Linked DNA regions of Diceros bicornis minor. The protein of the gene in region 1 interacts with the protein of each later gene in a pairwise test. Links are inferred from orthologs where the notes say so. Each region holds a gene or a part of one and is shown in the gene's direction. Other genes may lie near its edges.

What was found. The genes of interacting proteins can lie anywhere in the genome.
Region 2: the proteins of CIB3 (region 1) and SERTAD1 interact in binary tests that used the Homo sapiens proteins (3 or more experiments, as listed by UniProt). The two-hybrid records come from large-scale screens. The link is inferred for Diceros bicornis minor from reciprocal best matches to the Homo sapiens genes CIB3 and SERTAD1.

Annotation. Positions count from the first base shown.
Region 1 is NC_080759.1:4,390,975-4,397,932, reverse strand, and holds the start of CIB3 (calcium and integrin-binding family member 3), read left to right. Parts: upstream 1-3,884; coding exon 3,885-3,935; intron 3,936-4,146; coding exon 4,147-4,181; intron 4,182-5,865; coding exon 5,866-5,977; intron 5,978-6,958. UniProt on the Homo sapiens protein: Acts a an auxiliary subunit of the sensory mechanoelectrical transduction (MET) channel in hair cells. Plays a role in regulating hair cell MET channel localization and function.
Region 2 is NC_080773.1:13,999,783-14,007,307, reverse strand, and holds SERTAD1 (SERTA domain-containing protein 1), read left to right. Parts: upstream 1-4,425; 5' UTR 4,426-4,533; intron 4,534-6,236; coding exon 6,237-6,953; 3' UTR 6,954-7,292; downstream 7,293-7,525. UniProt on the Homo sapiens protein: Acts at E2F-responsive promoters as coregulator to integrate signals provided by PHD- and/or bromodomain-containing transcription factors. Stimulates E2F1/TFDP1 transcriptional activity.

The DNA of each region.
Region 1 (6,958 bases):
TATGTTTCTTCCTAGAACTTAGCACTCCTGACTAATTATGTATTTATATGGTTGCTTGTGCACTGGAGTGTGAGCTCCATGAGAACAGGGACTTGGTTTTGTTCACTTATGTATCCAGGACCTGGGCTGGTGCCTGGCACACAGTAGGGCTGCAAAATTAATTGTTGATGGAGAGAGACACCATGAAATCACGAAGTGTCTGATGGGGTCGGGCACAGGAACCTGGACTTCAACCGTGAGGCAATGGAGAGCAAGGAGTTCTTTTTAATTAGTTTCATTGTTGCCTTCATTTAAAATATGTATTTATGTGCAATAAAATTAGTCCTTTTTGGTGCACAGTATTACGACTTTTGACAAATGAATACAGCCATGTAACCAACCTGACAGTCAACATATAGAACAGTTCTATCATCACCCCCAAATTCCCTTGTTACCCCACTCCCAGCCCCTGGCAACACTTGATCTGTTTTCTCTTCTTATAGTTTCACCTTTTTGAGAATCATCCAGAAGGTGGCCTCTTGGGTCTGGCTTCTCTTACTCAGCACAGTGGATTCGAGATTCATTCACGGTGGGATATCAATAGCTCATTCCATTTTTGTGTGTGCGTGTGTGAAGAAGATCAGCCCTGAGCTAACATCCATGCTAATCCTCCTCTTTTTGCTGAGGAAGACCAGCTCTGAGCTAACATCTATTGCCAATCCTCCTCCTTTTTTCCCCAAAGCCCCAGTAGATAGTTGTGTGTCATAGCTGCACATCCTTCTAGTTGCTGTATGTGGGACGCCGCCTCAGCATGGCTGGAGAAGCGGTGCGTCGCTACGCGCCTGGGATCTGAACCTGGGCGGCCAGTAGCAGAGCGTGCGCACTTAACCACTAAGCCACGGGGCCGGCCCCCTCATTCCTTTTTATGGCTATGTGGTATTCTGTTGTATGGACAGACCATGGTATGTTTATCCATTCCCCAGGTGAAGCACATTTCGGTTGTTTCCAGTTTTTGGTGATTATGAATAAATCTGCTATAAATGTTCATGTACAATTTTTTGTTAAAAAGTTGAGATATAGTTCTCGTACTATAAAACTCACCCTTTAAAGTGCATGATTCAGTGGCATCTAGTACATTCACAGAATTGTGCAACCATCACCACTATCTCGTTCCACAACATTCCATCACCCCAAAGAAACCCCCTCCTCGGCAGCAGCCGCTCCCCCTCCCCCTCTCCCCTGCTTTCTGTCTCTCTGGATTTGCCTATGCTGGACACTTCATATAAATGGAATCATACAATATGTGGTCTTTTGTGTTTGGCTTCTTTCACTCAGCATGATGTTTTCAAGGTTCATCCATATTGTGGCATGTGTCAGAGCTTCATTGCTTTTTATGGTTGAGTAATATTCCATTATATTAACATACTACAATTTCATTATCCATTCATCCACTGATGGATATTTGGGTTATTTCTACTTTTTGGCTATTATGGATAATGCTACTATGAACATTTATGCATAAGTTTTAATGTGGACATATATTTTCAATTCTCTTGGGTATATACATAGGCGTGAAAATTACTGAGTCATGTGGTAACGCTATGTTTAGCTTTTTAAAGAACTGCCAAATTGTTTTCCAAAGAGCTGCACCATTTTTCATTCCCACAAGTAACGTATGAGGATTCTAATTTCTCCACATCCTCATCAACATTTGTTATTTTTTCTTTTTATTATAGCTACCCTAGTGGGTGTGAGGTGGTATCTTATTGCGGTTTTGATTTGCATTTCCCTAATGACTAATGATGTTGAGCATCTTTTCATGTGCTTATTGGCCATTTGTATATCTTCTTGGAGACATGTCTACTCAAATCCTTTACCTGCGTTGTTTTGTTTTAATAGACTTTATTTTTTGAGCAGTTTTAGGTTCACAGCAAAATCGAGGAAGGTACAGAGATTTCCCATCTATTCCCCTGCCGCCACACATGCACAGCCTCTCCCCTTATCAACATCCCCCACAGAGCGGTGCATTCATTATAGCTGATGAACCTATGCTGACACAGCATCATCATCCCAAGTCCACAGTTTACATTACTCTTTAGTCTTGGTGTTGTACATTCTGTGGGTTTGACAAATGTATAATGGCATATACCCATCATTATAGTCTCATACAGAGTAGTTTCACTGCCCTAGACATCCTCGTTGCTCCAACGATGCATCCCACTCTCCCTTAAGCTTCACCCATTTTTTACTTGGATTATTTATCTTTTTATTGTAGACTTGTAAGAGTTCTTTATAGATTCTGGAGACTAGCATCTTATCAGAAATCCATTCTGTGGGCATGTACAGGGTTTGGGTGCACATAGGTTTTCATTTCCCTGGGGTAAATATGCAGGAGTGGGACTGCTGAGTCATGTATGTTTAACTTTAAAAGAAACTGCCAACCCGTTTTCCAGAGCGGCTGTGCCATTCTGCAACACCACCAGCAATAGGAACAGTTCCAGTTGGTCCACGTCTTCGCCAACACTCTGTATCGTCAGTTCTTAAAGAAATCATCCTCAGGAACCCTTTAAAGCCTGATCATAGTCACATTTTACAGATGGCTTCACACACTTGGGCAGAGGATGGCAGCTGAGGCAGAGTCCAGAGGAGCCTGCTGAGAGGAACTGTGATGGTCCAGGCCAGGGAGAGGGAGAAGGGAAAGGGGAAGACAGAAGCGTAGTTCAAGGAGTTTGGAGTGTGGGGCTGGGAAAGTCTGAGCAGGAGAGGAAAGTGGAAAGAGGTGAGACTTGGAACAAGAAGGGCATGGTGGGCCGGCCTGGTGGCACAGCAGTTAAGTGCGTGCACTCTGCTGCGGTGGCCCAGAGTTCGGATTCTGGGCGCGCACCGACGCACCGCTTGTCAAGCCATGCTGTGATGGAGTCCCATATAAATTAGAGGAAGATGGGCGTGGATGTCAGCCCAGGGCCAGTCTTCCTCAACAAAAAGAGGAGGATTGGCAGATGTTAGCTCAGGGCTGATCTTCCTCCCTACCCCCCCCCCCCCAAAAAAAAAGAAGGGCATGGAACGCCAGGCTCAGGGTTTTTGAAACCAAGATGTTCTACCCAAGAGGATTCTGGGTCTCAATAAGGTTGCCACTTGCTATGTTGTATCTATGCCTTGAGGATGCATGGTGCACACTAGCATGTTAAAGGCTCTGACAAGTCCTGCAATAAAGAACTCTGGTGTTATTCAACCCACTGTTTCTCAAACTAAGCCCATGGCTCTCTTTTCTCCAGCCGTAACATCCTCCTCCTCCTCCTCCTCATCTCCAACGCACACCTCATCTAGCTTGTTCCTTATTATGCTCCCACAGCCTAGAATGGGCTTATAGCCAATGGCCAGTTTTTTTTTAATTGTATTAATTATCTCTTTAGATCTTGAGAACAACTCTATGAGATAGGTACTAATACAATTTCTGTCTCACAAATGAGGCTCAGAGAGGTCAGATGACTTGGCCACACAGCTAAGGCCACACAGCCTGTGGGTAGAGAACTGGAATTTGAGCTGGGACATGCTTGCAGCCTCTCCACCATCCTGCCCATCTCTGGAAGGCACCTCACATCCCCAGCGCCACACCCCCGGCCCCTATCTTAGTGGCAGATGTGGTCTCCCCACTGAGGGCTGCCCTGTGACCTCCTGCGGTCCTTTGTGCCCTGGTGGCTGTGGACATACTCGGGCTGTTGCTCAGAGAGCTCGGCTGTAACTTGAATCTCGCCTAGGCTGGGGGTGACCAGGTGGGTGGGCGGGTGACAGCCAGGGCAGAGAGGTTTGCCCAGACACTGGTGCGTGGCAGCCTGGCAACCCGTGTGGCCCTGATGCGACTGGGGGCTTCCAAAGCGTGTTCCAGGGCTGGCGGTGGTCCCCACATGGGCAACAAGCAGACAGTTTTCACTCAAGAGCAGCTGGAAGCATATCAGGTAGGGGTGAGGAGCCGGGCTCTTGTGGGTTTGGCAGCCTCGGTTTCCTGGCCTGAGAAATGGGGACAGCATCCCTTCCTCCGGGCGTGCAGTCAGGACGGTTCCCTGCGCAGCTCTGAGTGTGGCGTCAGGCGGAGGCGGGCGTGGGGCTGAGGGAGAGGACGGAGGCCCCCGAGGCAGGGCCGGGCCAAGCCAGCGTCTCTCTCCGCAGGACTGCACTTTCTTCACAAGGAAGGAGGTCATGAGGTCAGTCTGGAGGGGAGGGAAGAAGGTCTGGAAACAACTTTCCACACTAGCGGATTTGCAGTTTGACGGGGCCCGGCACCTCACAGCGGTTACAGCAGTACTGGGGGATTGCAGGCCGGGTCAGCGGACGGAGGCAGCGCCGGGGAGGCTGAGTCGTCCCTCTCACCATATTGCCGCACCCCCAGGCTGGGCTTGGGCTTTCCCTGGGGTGGCGGGGAGCCACGGAGAGTGTGAGAGCTGGGCAGAGACAGGTCAGCGTGTTAGAAAGGTGCCCCTGAGGCCAGTGTGAAGAGGTGGGAACTGGAGGCTGGGAGCCCGGGGCAGGGCCGGGAGCCAGCTCTGGGCTGTGGGGTCGGCATCAGGTGAGGGCGCCGGGAGGCGGCCTGAAGCTGCTGCAGTCCCTGGCGTGAGTGAGACAGGCATAGGTGGGTGTCCCACGTCATCGCTCGGCCCATGGAGCCATTGTCCGGAGGCCCCGACCCATGAACTTGGAGCCGTGAAACCCAAGCTGGCAGGGTTCGGCTGCAGAGTGATCGGGGCCAAGGCCCCAGTTGTGTGGGCATGGGACATCCATTATTGATGGGCACAGCTCTTAGCAGTGAGCCCCATTGTGTGGGGAGGACAGCTCACAGGGTCAGCCTGGCCCTCACGATCGGATTACTGATGGGGAAACTGAGGCTTGGACAGGGGCGGCTGCTTCCGGCTCTGCAGGCCGGCAGAGCCCCAAGAAGTTTCAGGGCTGACATTTCATCTGTCCCAAGCTTCTTACTGGTCAGGTCAACTAATTGAGGCTCGGAGGGGACGAGGGACATGTTCAAGGCCACGCAGAAACCCAAGCCCAGGCTGGGCCCTGAGGAGATGCTGACAGGGACTGGGTGAGCAGGACTGAAACTCCTGACACCTCTCCTCAAGTTCCTCGCCATCAAATGACCCAGGGACGCCCGACTCCTTCAGAGATGGTCCCTAGCAGCTTGGGGACCTCTGATTTCTCAAGATGATCTCTATAAGGCTGCTGCTCCGCGTGCCCCCAGTGAAGATAGGATGTCACCAGGTGAGGGCATTACAGTGGAGAGCTGGCCTCACAATCTAGGTAGTGTAGGTGGTATTTGGTGTTTTGCAAAATGTCTTTCGTTTGCCCTTAAAAAATCCCTGAATATTAGCCTTTGTCTCTGCTCTGCCCATTGAGGAAACCCTGCCTCCCACTATGGAGGGAGAGAAGGGAAGTGTGAAGATGGGTGTCTTTAGAAGCAGGGTCTTGCTGACAATGTGATGATGTCCAGAGATTCATAGATCAGCTCAGATTCTCTGAATGCTCCATGTGAAATGACCTCGCCTTAAGCACCCTCCCTTCTGTCATCCCCATCTGCCTGGTAAGCTCCTACCCAGGCTTCAAAGCCCAGCATTAATGCCCCTTCCTTCAGGAAGTCCTTCCTCCTCCCTGGCTTGCTTTCCCTAATCTAGTCTCCCCTAGCTCTGGGTCCCTCTCTCCACCTTGACCCTGTCCCTAGGGGGGTAGAAGTGCCTGTGTCTGGGTCTGTGCCTTTGAAAGCTGGGCCCAGGGCTGATGGCCCTTGGGGACCCAGCATCCTTCAGTATAGAGTGAGCTGCTGCGAGAGTGAGAGAGGAGGGACAAGTCCCCCGCTCCCGTCTCCCAGCTCTTCCTGCATTTCCCTCCCTATACCAGGCTCTTCTATCGCTACCAGGACCTGGCCCCCCAGCTTGTCCCTCTGGACTATACCAGCTGCCCCAATGTGAAGGTGCCCTACGAGCTCATCGGCAGCATGCCTGAGCTGAAGGTATGCCTGGGCCATGGGGCAGGCAGAGAAAAAATAGTAGGGATGCCCCTGCTGCATTCCTATGAGGTGGGTGCTGCAATTATTCCCATTTTACAGATGAAGAAACCGAGGTTCAGAGAGGTTGAGACACTTGTTCATGGCCACACAGCCAGGATAACAGAGATAGGATTCAAACCCTGGGTTGTCGGGAAGATGAGATGAGATAAAGCAGGTGAAGGGCTCAGCACAGGGCCTGTCGTTTTGCAAGTACTCAAGTAACGTTAGTTCTTCTTTTCATAGTAGGAGCTACTAAATACGGTTTCTCCTCAGCTGGATGTTTGACACATGGTTCGTGCCTTTGAAGGGAACTTGTGGGATGAGTGACTGTGAGTAGAGATTATTTTATCACAAGGGACAGAAGCCTCGTTCAAGAGGGACAGAATGGGTTGGATCACATGAGCAAAAAGTCCAGGGGCAGGTCTGGCTAACGTCAGGTACGGCTGGAACCGGGGTCTCTGAGGACGTGCTGTGAAATTTCCCTCTGTCGCTCAGCTCCTCCCAGGGAGAGGCTTCAGCCTTAGGCAGCCTGTCCTCTTGAGGTAGTGAAGGGGGGCCCCAGCACCCCAGCTTTCCTCCTGTCAGCTCTGCATTCAGAAGAAAGCAGGTCCTTCCACCTCAGTTTTGCAGAAAACATCCCAGGGCAGCCTCTGATTGGCCAGTTTGAGTCATACGCCCACCCCAGAGCCAATCACAGTTGCCAGGTGAACGGAAATCTCTGATTGGCCTCACCTGGGTCAAGTGGCTGCCTCTGGAGCTGGAAGCAAGGTCAACGCCCCCAGACCACGGGGGCAGAGTGTGGAGTTGCATGACATCCTCTCTAGGGTCCAGGGGAGCGAGGGGGTCTTGGCAGGGGTGCTTGGAGGTTCCCAGGGAGTAGGTGCTGAGAGTGAGACCATGTGGAGCCTGTGGGACCCTGCTCAGGGGTGGCTTCCATGCTTCCCG
Region 2 (7,525 bases), on another chromosome or scaffold:
CAAAGGCCCTGAGATCACAGCCTGGGTGGAGTGTTTGAGGGACTATGAGAAGGCCTGTGTGTCTGGATGAGAGTGAGCAAAGAGGAGAGAACTAGGAGATGAGGTGAAAGAGTTGAGGGGGCCAAATCATGCAGGGTCTTGTGGAGTCCCTTTACACTGAGTGAGATAGAAGCCATGGGAGGACGTTGAGCAGAGGGACGAGACCTGATTCACTTTTAAACAGACCCTCTTAGACTGCCCTAAAGATGACCAAGGGAAGAGGGATCGTGTAGCTTGTTGCTACCACAGCAAGACCAGCATGAGGAGCACCCCACTTTCCCCATGAACAAACTGAGGCTCAGAGGGGCCCCGCTCCTGCCCTGTTGAAGAACTGGCGAGAGAAGTGGAAAGGCTGGCCAGGCAGAGGGAACCGGGTCCCTAAGGGCAGAGTCCACGTTCCCCAACCTGCCCTCCCCCGCGGGCCCGCCGTGGGGGATGGGCCGCGGCCACCTCGGGGCGTGGCCGGGAGGCTGGTCCCTCCCACCTGCCCACCCTCCCCCTGAGCTGGCCGCCGGCTGGACACCCGGGAGCCGGCCCGGCGCCTCGTCCCTCCCCAGAGGCCGGGTGGGGCGGCCGGCCGGGGGCGGGGCGCTCGCCCTGACCCCACTCCCTCCCTAGCTGGCGGAGGCTCCTCCCCAGCCCTGCTAGGCCCCCGTGGCTTCACTTCTGGTTTCATTTCCCAAGGCCCGGCCTCTCTCCTCCTCCCTTCCCCCAGCCCTTTGAATTCTGGCTCCTCCTCCGCTTTCTGCTCCCAGCTCCAATGCCACCTCCTCGGGGAGGCTCTCCCAGACCACCCTGGCTCCAGGCACCTCTCGCCAGTCCTCTCTATTATCCCGTCCTATTGTATTTTCTTCAAGTCACTAAACAGAAGCAGAAATGCTCTTCCTCATTTATTCATCTTCCGGGGTCTTCTCATCCCATTCAGAATGAAAAACAACGGTCCATAGAGCGCTCGAAGGACCTGAACACAAGCACACGCCCACCTCAGGACCTTTGCACAGCCCATCCCTCTGGCTGGAACACTCTTCCTCTAGAGCTTTCCCACGTCTCTCGTTTCATCGGGTCTCTACTCAATGTCACCTCTTCAGCGAACCCTCCACCACCACCAGCACCCTGTCTGAACTGCACACCCGGGGCTGGCGCAGTGGCGCAGCTGTTGAGTTCACTCCTTCCACTTCAGTGGCCTGGGGTTCGCTGGTTGGTATCCTGAGCACGAACCTACTCACCGGTCATCAAGCCATGCTGAGGCAGAGTCCCACATAGAAGAGCTACAACTCTACAACGATGATGTAGGACTAATGTACTGGGGCTTTGGGGAGACAAAAAAAAAAGAGAGGAAGATTGGCAACAGATGTTAGCGCCCGGCCAATCTTAAAAAAAAAAAAAAGATTATTATTTAAACTGCACACCCTTTCATTACCCTCCTCCCGCTCTGCTTTATTCTTTTCCTTTGCACTTGTCACCTTCTAAGATACTAAAATTTCTTTGTTAAGTTTATCGTGCACCTCCTCACATCGGGGAGTTTTGTGTATAATTTTACTGGCATATCTTCAGTGCCTAGAACAGTGTGTGACACAGAACAGGCTCAATCCATCAATGTTTGCGAATCAATGAATGCATTTGTTTTCATCTTTTTTTCTCTCTCCACCCCCTCCCCTGATCTGTGAGAAGAGAGCCCAGGTGAGGCTTATCCAGGGCTGTACCCTCATTATGTACAACAGTGCTCACCACATAGTGTGTACTCAATAAATACACATTATTTGAGTGACTTCTATGAGCTCTTCTTTAGTGTATGACTTGGAGAGAGCCACTTGGAGACTCTGAACTTCCTTTCTCCCAGGCCAAAACGACAAGTTGTGGGGAAATTATGTGAATTTACCTAGTGGGGGCCTGGTTCTAATGAGCACTTCACTCTCTTTTTAGTATGAAAATTTTCAAGCACAGAGAAAAGATGAAAAAAAGTATGTATTCTGAGCACTTGAATACCTTCCCACCTAGATTTAATTATTAACATTTTAAGTTTCCTTTATCTGCATATTTGTATATGTATATTTTTTCTTTTGCTGAACCATTGGAGAGTAAATTGCAGACTTCTCAACCCTACCCCTAGAATGGTAGGCATCTCTTAAGATTAAGGACTCTCACCATAATATTAAGGATACTCACCTACAAACCACAATGCTATTTCACATCTAAGAGAATTAAGAATTCCTTAATATCATCTAATATCCAATCTATATTCAAATTTCCCCAATTTTTCCAAGAATATCTTTTTTTTTTTTCTGGTGAGGAAGATTGGCCCTGATCTAACATCTGTTGCCAATCTTCCTCTTTTTGCTTGAGGAAGATTATTGCTGAGCTAACATCTGTGCCAATCTTCCTCTATTTTGCATGTGGGACACAACCACAGCATGGCTTGATGAGCAGTGTGTAAGTCTATGCCCAGGGTCCAAACCCGTGAACTCCAGGCCACTGAAGCAAAGCGTGAAAACTTAAGCAATAGCCAACAGGCCAGATCCAAGAATATCTTTTATAGCTGTTTTTCTTCCCCCCAAATCAGGATCCAGTGAAGGTTTATAAGCACATGTGGTTGTAATAAAGAAATTACATAGTATCTTTTTTGTGTGTGTGTGAGGAAGATCAGCCCTGAGCTAACATCAAATGCCAATTCTCCTCTTTTTTTTTTTTTTTTGCTGAGGAAGATTGGCCCTGGGCTAACATCCATGCCCATCTTCCTCCACTTTATATGGGACGCCGCCACAGCACAGCTTGACAAGCAGTGCGTCGGTTTGCGCAAGGGATAGAGCCAGCGAACCCCGGGCCAGGGAAGCGGAGCTTGCACACTTTAACCGCTGCGCCACCTGGCCAGCCCTATATAGTATCTTTTATTCTGGAACATCCGCCCCCCCAACCCAAGCCCCACCAATCCCTTTTTGTGTTTTCTTGAAATTGAATTTTTGGGGCAACAGCCCAGTTGTGCTGTATATATTCCCACATCTGTATTTGTCTGATTCAGTTCGTGTTTGTTACTTTCTGTTTCCTCTAAGTTGGAGGTTGGGTCTAGAGGCTTGATGAGATTCAGCTTATGCAAATAACAGAGAGACTCCATAAAGAATGTTGTGTACTTCCTAATGCATCATATCAGGGGACACCCAGTGTCCGGGTGTCCCACTATTGTGGATGCAGAGTTTCATTATGTGGTTAAGGTGGTGAGTGCCACATCTCCACATCAGAAGAGGATATTTCCCCCTTTACAGTTAGCAAGAAACCTGTGGGGTGATGCTCTGGAGCCTGTCAAGATCCTGTTCCCCACTATCTTTCACAGTTAAGTTTTGAGCATCCATTGATAATCGTGGCCTGAATCAACTAGTAGAGGTAGCATTTTTGAGAGCTTACTTGAGCCAAGAGCTTTATTCACAACAGTTCTTCCCACAGCTCCAGAAGAGTTAGAAAATGAGCCACTTGAAGAAGGTGAGTCCCATTGTCAGTTTATCGGACAAGTATTAAACTCCCGTCTCCCCGTACCCCGCCCCGCGTGTCCCCCCTTGAGCTAAGCGCCTGTGCAATTACCACAACAGCTATTACTACTTACAAAAGAACACGTTGCATACCCCTCTGAGCATTTTGCACGAATTGTTCTATTTAATCCTCAGAACAACCCTCTGAGCCAGAAACTATTTCTCTCATTTTAAAGGCGAAGAAACTGAGAGCCTAAGGGATTAAAACACTTGCCCAAGGTCACACAGCTACTTAGGGAATGGAGCCCAGGAAGTGACTCCCGTGGCATCCCACCCCCAGCCCCGTACCTGTCTATAGCCACACCTGAATCCAACTGCCCAGCATTTGCTGAGTCTGATATAGTGCTCTTACAGACACGATCTTACTTTAATTTTCCTCACTCTCAAGAGGTAGGCAAGAAGATTCCATGTAACTGAATTTCCGTGGCTCAGAGAGGTCAAGCATTTTTCCAAGGTCACACATCCAGTGTGAATTAGAATTTGAACGAGTTAGAATTTGAACCCAGGCCTATCTGGTCTAGAGTGTAGACCCCTGTTGGGCTTGGTGCGTAAGAAGCTCAATTGCTGAGCTCGGCAGGTGCATGGGTAGACGAGAGAGGCCCGCACCTGGAGAGGCAAAAACCCTTCCTCGCCACTGTCGCGCAGGGAAGATACCCACACCGTCTTCCCACCTCCGCTCACGCAGCCGCCCGCGCATGCGCCCTCAAGCCAACCGCCCTCCCTTCGAACCTGCCCCCCTACAGGCTCCGCCCATCACCGTCCAGGGCCAATCCCTGGTGGAGGGCGGGGCCGCCACGGGAGTGGGCGGCCGCTAAGGGGAGTCAGGAGCCCGGAGTCGTGCGGCGGAGTCAGAACTGCGTCTCGCGACCCAGCCGCCGGTTGCTGAAGGCGAGCGAGCGAGCGATGCTGTCGCCGCCGCTTCCTGATTGGCTGCGGGTGGCTCCCTCTTCGTTCTGATTGGCAGCTGGTGAACTGGGTATGTAAATGAAGGAAAGGGGCCTGGGGAGAGGGTTACCGGCGGCGGGGTCCCCTTGGCAAGTTCGAGCCCCCGGTCCGGCAGGTGCGCGCCGGAGCTGTCCGGCGTTGAGACGCGCGGGCCTCTACGTGCCGCCCGCTCCGGCCGGGCCGGGTGAATCACGCCGCAGCCGGGGAAGGGGGCGGAGGCGCCGGCTCCCTGGCTCCGGCTGCGTGACTCACCCGCCCCCGCCGCCGCCGCTTCGGGAGGAGCTGCCTCCACTGCCTTCCGGAAGCGAGCGGAGGCCGAGAGGGCAGAACAGCCCACCGGGGATCCCGGCCCGCACGGCCCCGGGCGGCAGGCACCACAGCCAGGACGCGGGGCAGTGTCTAGGGTCCCGGGGTCTGAGGGGCCGGAATCCCCGGGGGAAGGCCGGCATGGCGCCGCTAGGGGGCGCCGGGCCCGGGGGGCGGAGTCGGGGGTGGGGGCTGAATTCCTGCGGTTCGGGACTCCCGGGTCTGCGGGCAAGGAGGCCAGGACCCAGTGTGAATCGTGTGAGGGGTCACTCTTAAGGTCCTGCTGGGCAAGGGCCCCGGGGGACTGGACCCTACAGGCTGCATGGCTCAAAAAAGCAGGCTGGACCAGGGGTCCAGAACTCCAGGGGCCTCCACCGCGGGGAAAGTGTGGGTCCTCAAACTTCTCTCCGTGATCCCCGGGCCCACCAGGATTTTCCGGCCAGCTCTGTCCACTCTGCCTGCCAAATAAATCCTGAGTCGACCAACTTCCTTCCGTGTCCACCACCACTCTCCACTCCAAACCAGCATCATCTCCCCCCACCCCCCCAAGAGTTGTGTAGCCTCCAAAATGATCTCGGGGCCACCCCCCCACCCCACCCCACCCCCGCTCCCAATCTTCCTCGAAGCAGCCAAGAGGATCTTCCGGAAACCTAATCGGTTCACAACACCACTCTCCTCCCTACTCAGAATCCTTCAATGACTTCCCACCAGACTCACAATAAAATCCAAACGCCTTGTTCCTGTCTACTCTCAAGCCCCCCCCACCCCCACCCCCCACACACTATGTCACTCTGTGCACCAACCACACTGGTCTTTTTTCAGTTCAAGCTCATCCGGCCTCTGGGGCTTTCTCTGCCTTTGCTGTTGTCCTCTCTTCCCTGAATGCTTTCCGCCTGGTTCTTCCATAGCTGACTCCTTACACTCGAGGGCTCAGCTCAAATGTCACCTCCTCAGAGGAGCACTCCCTGACCACCCCCAGAACCTTTTAGTATCTTCCTAGCACCATCTGTACATTTCCTGTATTTGTTTATTTGTTTGTCTGATGCATAGTGGACACTCAATAAATATTAAACTATGTGAAACAGGCACTTTTGTAGGTAAAAAAGAAAGGTTGAATATTGGACATTTCACACAGTTCATTGGAGAAATAAATAATAATAGTTATTATTAAGACTGCTTATTAATAGGAGTAATTACTCTGTACCAGGCACTGTTGTAGGTGCCTTTTGTGTATTTACTCTTTAAAACAACTCTGTGAAGTAGATACTATTATCACTCATATCTTAAAGGTTCAGGCTTTAAGAAAGCATGCCTAGGCTCAGAGAGGTTAAGTGATTTGTCCAAGATGACACAGACAGCAGTCTTCAGAGACAGGGTTTGAACTCAACGTTGGGTTTCCATAACAGAATGACTCCTCTGTCCCCGCAGATGATGCTGAGCAAGGGCCTGAAACGCAAACGGGAGGAGGAGGAGGAGGAGAAGGAAGCCCTGGCAGTGGACGCCTGGTGGCTGGATCCCAGCCACCCAGCAGTGGCCCAGGCACCCCCGGCCGTGGCCTCTAGTTCCCTCTTTGACCTTTCGGTGCTGAAGCTCCGCCACAGCCTGCGGCAGAGCGAGCCGGACCTGCGGCACCTGGTGCTGGTCGTGAACACGCTGCGGCGCATCCAGGCGTCCATGGCACCCACAGCCGCCCTGCCACCTGTGCCCAGCCCCCCCGCAGCCCCCGGCGTGGCTGACCCCCTGCTGGCCAGCTCAGACGCTGCCCTCTCAGCCTCCATGGCCAGCCTCCTAGAGGACCTCAGCCATATCGAGGGCCTGAGCCAGGCCCCCCAGCCCCTGGCGGACGAGGGGCCACCGGGCCGCCCCACTGGGGGAGCCCCACCTGGCCTGGGGGCCTTGGACCTGCTGGGCCCAGCCACTGGCTGTCTGCTGGACGATGGGCTCGAGGGCCTGTTTGAGGACATCGATACCTCCATGTACGACAGCGAACTCTGGGCGCCAACCTCTGAGGGCCTTAAACCTGGCCCTGAGGGTGGGCCGGGCAAGGAGGAAGCTCCAGAGCTGGACGAGGCTGAGCTGGACTACCTCATGGACGTGCTGGTGGGCACACAGGCGCTGGAACGGCCACCGGGGCCGGGGCGCTGACCCCCAGGGCTGGAATGGTTGTCTGGTGTCCAAATTGAGCCTGGTGGCTGGACCTACTCTCCATGGAAAGACACAGCTGGCTCCCTTAGAACAGAGAGGGGCTTTGGAGAGAGAGAATCTAGTCCTGGGTAGCTTCACCTCCGTCCTCTTGTTTTGGGCTGATGGAGGGAGCCTGGGAATGGCCCTCATGCTAGAATGACAGGGCCTGGCGGCTGGACTGTGATTGGACCAGGCCCCGTACTGGACTGAATCCCCAGAGGTCATAGCCTGGAATACTCCTTCCCTGATGTGGGAAGGGACCCCAACCAGTTTTTTTGAAATTAAAACCAGTCCTGGGAAGTCTGTAGTCTGTGTGTGCTGCTTTGTCTCTGGGCCAAGGCCAGCGTGAGATATTAATCTCTAACATCTATTGAGCGTGGATTGCGCACCCGGCACGGTTCTGAGCCCTTGACATGTGTTAGCTCATTTAATCCTCGTATCGGCCCCACAAGATGGGCATTATGATTATCCCCATTTTACAGTTGAGAAAACTGAGGCTCTAAGAGGTCATCGCTCGAGGAGGTGGGTTTCAG